3 linked regions of the Caenorhabditis elegans genome follow. The protein of the gene in region 1 interacts with the protein of each later gene in a pairwise test. Each region holds a gene or a part of one and is shown in the gene's direction. Other genes may lie near its edges. The genes, in order: nhr-91, ztf-26 and ceh-54.

Region 1 (3,758 bases):
GTACCCTTTGCTTCATCATCCGCCTATACCCCCCCCCCCCCCCACAGCTTCTCCCTCCCGCTCACCAATCCCTCCTCCTCTTTCCCCATTTTATGTGCACTTTGAAAATAACCTTATGAGATCGTCCAGTGAAAGGAAATGGAGACAAGAAGAGGCGCCGGTGGAAGGCAGGGGCAATAGGAGGAGAGACCTACTGTCACTCTCGTTTGACCGGCAATAGGCCCGATTGAATGTACGCGGTTTTCACGAATTTCAAGGTCTGACCCACAAAATTTCGTTCGCCCTCCATGCATCTTTCACCCAATTTTGCTTTTGCGCCAATATCCGCGCGCTGTCCCCCCCCCCCCCCCTCCCTCCATCCTTCATCCATTCCGGCTTACCATCGTCTCTCTCTCGATTGTTGTGTGAATGTGTGTGTGACCTACCGACCTACAGTTTAACTTTCTCACTTTGTACTTTCTTGAATTATCCTCCTCTCCTCCTCAACCGCCTTGCGTTTCGTTTTTCTTTCTCGCATTTTCATTTTTGTTCGATTAGTATCCTGGTTACTGGATCAGCGATGTAGCAACAATGTGTTACAAGTTTTGAAACTAGCAAACTAGTTGAAAAAGTCTGGTCGATAGCTTATCACTTTTATGATTAACATGTTTCATTTATTTTCTATATCTGTTGCATTTCCGCCATCGTTGAGAATCGCTATTTTTCTAGAAACTAACTCAATAACTGTCAAAATGATGATTACCACGTTTTTTAGGCTCAAACCAAACCGGTATGTACTATTTCGGACAATAGAAAAACTGTATCACTTTGGAATAATTTTTTTTTAAACCTCACTGTATATTCCTTTGTAACAACTATTTGTATACAGCAGATATATAGGTTTGGTTTCAAGATATTAATAATATGATTAGTTTCAATACTATAGGAACATAAGTTTGATAAGCTTTTTCTCTATTTTCAAATTGAGCAAATTCTTGCAAATAACCGTAAAGTATCTTGCAAGTTAAATTGGTAAAATCTGTTTTTCTGTTCATGGAATGTTTAGGAACAATAATTGATTCTTTTTAATTGTAGCAAAACTGATTTGTCAAACAAGTAACTTTTTAATGTTAAAAACTCTATTGTTATTTTTATTCTCATAAACCTACCACTACAGTTTTGTACCTTCTCAACCCACCCGGCAACGGCTCTCAGTACCAGGCGGTGACGTCCAAATGCTGCCATTTGGCTCTCAACGAGCTCCGCCGCCAAATGCGTGACCTTGAAAATTGGTAGACGAACCCCCCCCCCCCCCCTTCCACCGTCCCGTCATTTGAAATGCTCTTTTGCACACTCTGATCTCACTTCGATAAACTCGACCGGCCCTACCATCCGCGCTTTTTGTACACTGCGATTCTGACTCAGAAGTGAGGAAGATTTTGTACCTCTTTCGAACACACAATTTTACTTTTTTTTTGCTTCAAAACAACTATACAATTATTCTGACTTTGTTCGGTCTTGATAATACATTTATTCACACGAGGGAGCTCATTTCCTATCTTCTTTTCCGTTCTGATTACTATACAATCGCTCAAAAACTGGGTAACAAAAATATTATCGCATTTTCACGACATCTACAAGTCTAAACCAATTGTTCTTCTTTGCTCCCCCTCCCATTTACATACCCCATTATACTGTCCCTACCGTATGTTGCCTGCTCCATCTGCATACATTAATGACCTCTGATTAATGAGCCTCTTTCAGTGCGATGGACGTTGCGGACTCGACATCTGAGACGCCACCTGTTTTTGACCATGACAACTTGGCTCTCGCGGCACAGACCAACTTGTTGCAGTTCTACCTGACACATTTGGCATCCACACTGGTGCCGCCAATGAAATTGGATATGAGAGACTCGATGACTCCAAGGTAATTGCATTTTCCTGAAGATGTGGAGAGCTTAGTTTCAAAATTTTAAATTTTCAGCTTCAGTCAAACCGAAAGCCCAAACTCTGAAACCGACGACTCCACTTCTGCAGCAAACAAAGTTCTATTCTCTATTCTTGGAACTCCAACAACAGACAGTACTTCGGTATGCGAACTGAATGAAAATTATTGAAATTATGTAGTAGAACAATTACAGAATGCCGTTTCAAAATCCAGCAGCAAGCTGTGCTCGGTATGTGGTGACAAGTCAACCGGTCTACATTACGGTGCTGCCACCTGTGAAGGGTATGTGCATTTAGATATTAAAAATACGGAGGGGGGGGGGGGAAGTTCATACTTCGAGCAACAACAAAAAACTTTTTTCATGTATTTTGAAATTTACGCAGTTTCTGCTGTTTTCTGACCTCTGTTTTGAATTGTGGTACTTCCAATTAAGACATTGATGTTAATAGGATGCCATATAATACTATTTCAGCACTACATAATTAACCAAATTTTTTGTTTCAAAATATACATCTGGAATTATCTTTCAATCTGTATCTCTGTAATTAATTAATTAGGCAAGTGTTTTTACTGTTTGATGCTTTGAAATAGTGATGCTTTGAAAATTACTCTAATATAAATATCCATGCCGATTTCATAATTTAATTTAGTTTCACTTCACTTTCTTCCCTTTGCTTATATCTTGTTTTCTATCGAAAGTTTTCATATTGTTATTTTTCTTTTCCCGGGTGGTCAGAAATCTGTTCCGCTCGCCCTCTTCCAGGATCAACATAAAAACTGTCTGGAGAGAAGAAGGGGGAGAGCTATTAACGGAATTAGTGATCGGATCGGGAAAGCGAAAGTGGTGGTGGGGGGCACCACACCAGTGAAAGTCCAGTTGTCAGCACCAGTGCGCTACATTTTCATCCGATGCTGGGGAGGGGATGCTGACGCCGTCGCCGCCGTCGTCGTCAACGTAGACACACGTCCGCCTCGGGTGCTGGAGGGGGGGGGGGGCAGTCAGATTTTGCGGCCTTCAGAATCCGCGATGATGGTCAAGGCCTTCAGCATGACACGACGCACCGCCGAACACCCAGTCAGTGAAATGTTGCGAAGGGCGACGGCCGGCCAAATGTGTCACGCACCTCGACCATTCGTTTCTCACTACAGCGCCCTTCTCGCCTCCCGGTTGACCCTCGGTTTGGAAGGAGGTGAAGTCGGTAGTGGAAGTGCACTTTGAATCGGTTTAGACGGTTTTCTCTAGGTCACACGCACCATAAGAACTTGTTTCTTTTTTTTTCAATGTGTTACTATAAAAGTGATACTATCTGAATAAACCCTAAATCATAAACCCTTAAAAAAATATTTTTTTAACTCACAATTTTTCCATTTACAGCATAAACGTTCCCAAAATTATAGGCGCTCATTGTAAATATTTCATCTCAGCTTGCTGTAAATATTTCTATTTGACTGTACTGTTGTAAAGAACTGTGATTTTTAGTTGATGTCCGTCGAAATAATTATCTGAATAAAAAAAAACGCAATTGACCCGCACTTACGATAACAATCAAGCTATTTCACAAAAACGGGAGAGCTGCGAAAGTTCCCCCGAAAGTTCAGAACGGCCTTCCTAAGATAACAATCAGTGTACCACACCGTACTCAAAGTACAGAGGACACTCGGATAACGATCAAAGTAGGTTTCAGTAATCGACAGCTCAGTTAGAGAAAGTTCAAGTAATACATATTAGTCTATATCATTATCAATCGGACATATTGTCTCTCCGGAAAAAAATGTCGGAGGTCGACAAGGTTTTGTTAGGGAATCGCGTCGGACAAGGTCGGTTCAAC
Region 2 (3,758 bases), on another chromosome or scaffold:
CCCCCAATTGGACATCCCCCGAGTTCTTCGGGTCTCAATGAGAAAAATCGGTAAAAAAGGTGACATGAAATGAAAACAAAAATCATTTTAGTTTTTGGATTTACGCCTAAATAATCTATATAACAATCGAACGTAGAATTCGGTTGCGCCAAAAAGTAACCAAACTTTGACCCAACTTTTACCAAACTCTTACCCAAATTTACAACGACACAAAAACCATTAACCTTTTGGGGCATAATTTGGGATTACAGGAGTGTTGTAGTCAAATTTTTTATTGCTTTATTAGACTCAAAATTTGTTTTAAAACGTTTCACCAAATCTCTTCGTCCACAGAATTCAAAATACCTAAATCGAGTTGAAAACGCTAGATAATTAACTTTATACCCAAAATTAGACGGTGATTTTTTTTACCACATTCGCTTTTTAGCCATGAAAATGGTATTCTAAAAACTTCAATAACCGCCGAGTTCAAGACAAAAAAGGGAATTTTGAGTCATACCTTTTAGAGCACATTTTGAGATTAAATGGAATTGACCATTTATATGCAAAATTAGTACATTTTCCAAACTTTGAAAATTAATATCTGGCTTCAAACTAATTTTTTTGAAAATCCCCGTAGCCATTTTGTTGCAAATTTTGTGTTCTCAGAATTTCAGAGTGGGAATCAATCAAAATTTAGTGGGAAAGCGCACTTAACGAAAACTGCTCTAGTTCCCCAGTTCTTTTAGATAAAAACAAATTTTTAACTAACAAAATGTTGTTCTTAATGTGCTTCATAGATTTGCAGTTGATAGCTTTTTGAAATCTTCCTTGTGCAACAAGATTGGAGCTGTCAAAGTTGTGCTCTGTAAGAGCATGTGCAAGCAACAATTCGTTCCAATTTCAGCAAAAATGATTGTTTCACCTTCAAAATTGTGAAAAAACATTATATACCAACATTTTATTGGTATTTAATTGTTTTTGAAGAAACTTTTTTTTATTTTATTTGAACGAAAAATGAAAAATTCGCCTTGCTATAGTACTATTTTAGGATCGTTGAGAGCACGTCGTGAGCTTGTTTCTAGAGTTTCGCAGCTAAAAATTTACGAGTAACCGTTTTAAGACATGGGCTATCGAATGACATAGGTCTCATATGCAACTCCAATAGGCACCTTGTGACGGTTCCCTAGTAAGCCACTTCAACATTTCAGGGAAATACATTGAAATTCAAATCAGTTCGCCAAGAGTTTCTTTATTATTTCAGTCATTATGTACTTTTCATTTTCCATTCAACAACGTTTATCAGAAACATATCTCAATGCCTAGATAATAAGTGCAAGGGGTTCAGGCAAAATGGGCGGAGTCTTGCGACGTTCTAGTGAAAAGTAGGAAAAGATATGGAGAGAAATAGAGAGAGACACTCGGCTGTCATAGCTGCCACTTGGTTTAGTCCTCTTTTTCCCTTATTCACATCTCTTCTCTCTGCGCCCCTGATTTTTTCCTATTTGGTTGCCCTGGTTGCCCCGCACAGCCGTTTTTTGGTGTTTAGGAAAACTAAATTTGAAGAAATTTTGATTAGAGAAGATTTATAATTCAGTTACTTTTTCGATTTTCTGTTTACCAAAGGCTTTGACGTTTACTCTCTGAAAGAGTAGGATAGGATCTATGCTACCGTATACCTTCAACATTTCAAGTACAGTGTGCACGTCCAAGATCCCCTTAATTTTTGATACATCAAAGATCGAAAAACTGTGACACGGAAAACAATTGTATATTCATAATCAGCATACTCAAAAAACTTTATTCTCAATTTTCACACGATTTTATCAAATTTAGATAGCGCTATGTAGAAAATCTGAGGGGACATTGCACAGTCCAATCTTTAGACGCGGGCACAAACTTTCTACGATTTTTACGATTTATGGATTTGGTTGGTTCAACTTAACTATAAGTTTCTCAAACTTAAACAATATTTTGAACACATTTTTCCGTCTCGACAATAATAATGTTCAAAGTTTAGGATGTTTTATAAACTTTCAGATGTCCTCTGACGGTTTTCCACACATTGATGATGACGGCATTGGGCCATTGACACCGGAATTTATTGCTAGAATCAGTTCAGGATTTGGAAGACCTTATTTAAGAAATACCCCTGGCGAAGAGATTCAAAAAGATTCAAAGAAGATTTTTAAAAGATGTTAGTTGATTATTTTTCTTTCACAATCAGAAACTAATTCCTTGTTGGTCCAATTTAAACACGTAAGTAACCGGAAATTAGGCTCTGACTAATAAATTTTCTCATGACTTTGCTGTTTCAAAAAAGAATAGTGCATATGAACTTTTCATTTGGAAGATGATTTTGAAGCTTTTTTAGGATGAAATAACTATAGTGCATTGGAGGATTCCTCTTGGGAAGAATATATCACAATACGAAATTTTCAAGAATTGAAAAGAATATAATGTCGTCATAATTTCAGCGAGAGAAGATTTCATAAGTCGATCAAGATCAGAGATTATCAATTGGGTACTGTCAAGTGAAGATCTCGCTAGAGGTAAAAAAAACTCGGCAGTTGTTTCATGTTAAATGTGTAAGAATGTTTGATCGTTTTCTTAACTGAAAAAAGTGCTGCAAATTCTTCGGGGAGCCAACGAATATTTTAATTTGGAATTTGAAAAGTTTGATTCTCGTTAAAGCTTATTTGCAGGTTGTTTCTGAAACTCTTCAAAAATCAGCTCAAAATCAGCTTCAATTTTGTTCAGTAAAGCGCTTAAAAAACATTTGTAAATTTTCAGCATGTGTCTGTCCGTATTGTCTGAAAATTCATTCCCGACGGGATAATGCAAGAGTACATATCAAAAATCATCATAAGGATTATCCAGTTCGTGATTTTATCAAAGACATCGATGCGAGTCTTGCGGAAGTTCGAAGAGCTAATGAAACTGGAAAATGTGAGTGATTTGGAATATATGTGAAAATTCAGTTAAAAGAATCAAGAAGGGAATATGAAATTAGAAACACAATTTTGAAAATTTGGCGATAATAATATTAATTAATTTCAACAACTTTCCTTTTATTGGTATTCTACCCAATTGGTGCTTGTACGGGTAAATATACCCATGCCTAAATATGTAAATTTACAACGTTGTGTCAGTACTGAATTCATGTAACGCCAAAAATGTTGAAGATCGGAAAAATTTTAATAATTGTCATAATTTAAAAAAATCGATGATTCGACATTTTTCTGGAACCCGGTAACAGCTTGAATATGAATCTACAATGTTTATAAATACAGTTCCACCTTTGCCATAATTGCATTACTTACAATTTTGTCTGGAAGTGTTTTCTTATACGAAAAATTCTTCAAACTTTTTCGGCTGCTACAGTACCAAGCCGTGTGAAACTTCTTACATATGCAAATCAGAAACACTGGCATCTTATTCTTGATATTCTAGGATCTAGGAAAATGATTGATGGTGCAAGGGGGAAGTTTTGTGAAAGAGAGAGAGAGAGAGAGAGAGTGGGGGATGTTGGAAAAAGTGATAGGGGGAGAAGAATAGGTTTACAACACTTTGGATCTTAATGGCTCAGCTCATGGTTGAGAGGGAAACCCTCTAGATGATAGTAAATTGCGAGTATTCTGCAAACTATTGTACTGCCGGGAACATTTTCGTAGTTTTCAATTTACAGGATAAGGAAATATTCATAAAGACACAGAAAAACTCGCTATATGTAATTAGAAATTGAATTTATATTACTAGGCTTATCGGAACAGTGACGT
Region 3 (3,758 bases), 9.1 Mb from region 1:
CCAATTATTTATTTGTTTAATACATGTTATTTTTTTAAAACACAATATTTCAAATAAGTACATTCCCAATTGTCAAAACTGAAACATTATTTTATAAACAACATGAAAAATATTAATTTTAAACGTAACTGATTTTTTTTGGTTTGTGAATGACGTTCTTTTCGGCATTTAATAACGTTTTTATGTTTTCAAATATAAATAGCTTTGCAAAAAAAACTCCAAATAATTTTTAGAATTTTGAGTTAAAAAAAAATTGAAACAGCTTTTCTTCGATTTCGGAAAAAAATACTTCGATTACACCACTGTCTTGCATACTTTTGGTTATTTGCCTTCTTGATGAACTTGATACATTTTCAGCCAATAATTTTCATATTTCAAACCGGAAAAGGAATGTGATTAAATAAAAATCAATTTCCGGCAGAGTATGACAAAATAGATGATTTTAGCAATCCTTACCACTTTTTTATTTTTCTGAAACCAAAAATTCAAAAAAATTTTCACGCGTCTTCAATTTTTTCCACTGAAAATTAATCTTGAAATAACTCTAAAAATTATGTTAAAATCTATAATGTGAAATTTAATATCTCAAAGTCTGTTTGAATTATGTAGTGCAATAAAAAAGCTTGCAACTCTACCATTTCGTTAAAAATATTCTTAATTGAACGCTTATTCTGTGCTTTTAAAATCTGATTTTAAATGTTATACATTTTGATTTTCAGATTTTGAAAAAAAAACTATTTTAGTATCAATTTTTTATTTCTCATTTGTCAGAGTTATTTTGAATAAGACAACGCAATACTTATTTTGTTGTGCAACATAAATAAGTATTTTAGTTTTTCTGGCGGTAAATAATTAATTTCAGGGAATACTTTTAATAGGCCACATTATCAATGGCTTCACTTCTGTTCATAGAATTTTCTAATGGGCGCTTGGTTTCACCAGAAACTAAAGGACTATTTCCTGTTTTCCCGCAATAGCCTAATTCCATCAAGCTCTTGCTCGTATATGCTCAACTTGAAATCTAATAAGCATATTCATCCACTTTCATAAATCATTACTCTGCTCATCAGCGTGGAGATTATGCTAATCGTCAAGGTTCATCGGATTGACATTTACTGCGGGAAAACCATTATGAAGACTAAAATGGAAACATCCGTGTTCTCTTTCCTCTTTTTTCACAGATCTTATAACCTTTGTAATTTAATCTGCAGTAAGCGCGAGACAATGAACATCCGAAAGTCGTTGTCGTCAAACTATAGCTTTAGTATGAAAATATAATATTTCGAATTTTTTGACTACATTATTACGAACACGTCCTAGTTCTGATCACACCTGTCACAGAGTGAATTCAGGTTAGAAACTACTTGCCTCGTGCCACTATTAGTACAAATTACCCCTTTTTGTTTCTCTATATGCTCTGAGATTTGCATGATATCTTCTGGTTTCAGTATAATTTTCAGCCAGATTCTTGAGCAAACCAGATTGGTATTATATACTGATGAATTTTTGCCATTTTTTAAAAGTATAAGATTTCCAGTGTTTTTTGAAAATTTTGTTTTTAAATGAAAATGTTTTTGAATAATCATTTGATTTTGTACAATATATATCAGCATCTCTTTATTAAAACAGATTAGAATTTCATAATATCTCGACAACTACTTCCGATGCTCACTCTTTTCGTGTGTTTTTGCTGTTCCGGAAACAGAAAGTTTCCGCTCACTTTGAATAAGCGCATTATCTATACTATTGGTGATAGGGAGATTACATAACACAGGATACGCCGTTGACGCCATTACACCTTGAAATAACATTATTGATCCCGTAATCCCACTATAAGCCTATATTTTTCTGACTTTTAGTTGACATTTTATTGTATGTAAATTTGTACGTAATAGACTTAAGGCGATCTTTTTGGTTTTTTTGGAGGATTAACTTTTTAATGAAATTTGTAATTTTATCTATTTGCTAAAAATCTAATAATTTTCAGTTTGTTCTTCTATTAATATTTGAAAATCAAAATTTTACAAATGGAGCAACTTAAGGTACGTTCTCACACCTTTATCAATAATTTTAAAGGTCAAGTATAGTCTGCGGGGAAATTATGAAAACTCATTTCTATAATGCTCGGTAGGCGTATGCGCACATTCCGCGCACTTTCCGCGCACATTCAGCGCACATTGCCCTTGGCGTGGCCATTTTCTCCACCGCTAGCCGTTTGAGCACTTTCCGCGCAGATTCTGGGCACATTGGTTTTGGTGTGTTTTTTCATCCAGAAATCATGCATTCTGAGCACATTCAGCGCACTTTCCGCGCACATTCAGTGCACATTGCCTTCGATGTGGCCATTTTCCCCACCATTAGTCTTTTGCGCATATTCCGCGCAACTTCCGCGCCGATTCTGCGCACATTGACTTAGATAATCTACAACTAATGCTCAATTTCTGCTTTCTAAATTATTATAGCATTGTTTAAATTTTATGTCCGAGTCTATATTTAATAGTATTTCTGATATTTGAAAATTAGAGCCAAGAGAAATGGTTTTAATAGTTCTCATTCAAAAACAAATCCGCGTATTGTTTCCAACCAAAAATTCATCAATAACGTTGTGAAACATTCATAGTTCGTTTTGAAATGATGCACATTCTCGACAGAAATAGTTGTAAAATACCAACAACGTCACTGTAGAGTTGAAATATGTTTTCAGAAATATTATATTTGGGTTAACAGGTTGTAAATATACGCCGTCTATCGTTATTGATTTACAACTGCATAATGTCCCACATTTTAAAAGTCAAAATTGTGATTCAAATTAAAAACTATATATCTAGATATGTGCTTACTATTATAGTTAGGGGGAAAATGTATACTGGAGAAGAAAGCGTTCAAATGTTTTCCCAGGAGTCAAATTGAAGAGGTTGTGAAGTTTTACAATCACACAAAGTCTCTTTTTGACCTGATTGAAAAATCAATTGTCATGTAGCTGTTGTAAAACTGAATTATCTGTGAATCTCTGGAAAGAATTCTAGAACAAAAAGTTCACTTAATTAGAGACTTCTAAATTACCATGAAAGTATAAAAATGCGCTGACATGATTTCTCTCTAGTAAAATAATCACATTAACGCTTAAAAACGGAAAAATACTTAATTCACATTTTTCCATAAATATGTGATTGAAAAACAAGTTCAAAAGCCAATGAGAAATCCTTTATTATTGAATTACTGTGCCAAAAATGCTTTATCGTTAGTTCTATGTTTCTCCATTGACTTTCTCATTTGCTTATATTTATGGCGCGTTAACTGCTATTAACATCGCATGCGTTATGTCTCAACAGGTAAGACTTCAGACTTTCAGGGAAAACATCACAGGTTCAATTCGCAGCAAGGACACTGGCAATCAAAATACACTGCAAGCGAAAGGCAGTGAAACACCACCACTCTGCATCATGAGCACATTCCGCGCACATTGCGTTTTGGTGTTCCTCATTTTTTAACTGCCCTGCATTATGCGCACATTCCGCGCACATTCTGAGCAGATTCCGCGCACATTCCGAGCGGATTAAAAACAAATGTATTAAACCGCTCGGAAAGTGCGCGGTATGTGCGCATACGCCTACCGAGTGGAAAAAGGACTAAACTTCATGCAAATATTTTAGACAAAAATTTTGGAAATGTTTTATTTCGACTCAAAAAGTGGGGAAAACTGGGTCAGTGCATTTTGTCGCGAAATCTGAAGCACTGTCGCTTTTTTGAATCCCTAC

What was found.
Region 2: the proteins of nhr-91 (region 1) and ztf-26 interact in a two-hybrid assay, tested with the Caenorhabditis elegans proteins (one large-scale study listed by BioGRID).
Region 3: the proteins of nhr-91 (region 1) and ceh-54 interact in a two-hybrid assay, tested with the Caenorhabditis elegans proteins (one large-scale study listed by BioGRID).

Annotation. Positions count from the first base shown.
Region 1 is NC_003284.9:15,307,632-15,311,389, forward strand, and holds the start of nhr-91 (Nuclear hormone receptor family member nhr-91), read left to right. Parts: upstream 1-1,743; 5' UTR 1,744-1,747; coding exon 1,748-1,908; intron 1,909-1,965; coding exon 1,966-2,071; intron 2,072-2,122; coding exon 2,123-2,211; intron 2,212-2,768; exon of another isoform or gene 2,769-3,062; intron 3,063-3,737; exon of another isoform or gene 3,738-3,758. UniProt on the Caenorhabditis elegans protein: Orphan nuclear receptor.
Region 2 is NC_003279.8:8,859,534-8,863,291, reverse strand, and holds the start of ztf-26 (C2H2-type domain-containing protein), read left to right. Parts: upstream 1-2,013; 5' UTR 2,014-2,019; coding exon 2,020-2,176; intron 2,177-2,353; exon of another isoform or gene 2,354-2,456; coding exon 2,457-2,531; intron 2,532-2,772; coding exon 2,773-2,928; intron 2,929-3,758.
Region 3 is NC_003284.9:6,192,511-6,196,268, reverse strand, and holds the start of ceh-54 (Homeobox domain-containing protein), read left to right. Parts: upstream 1-2,027; coding exon 2,028-2,042; intron 2,043-3,758.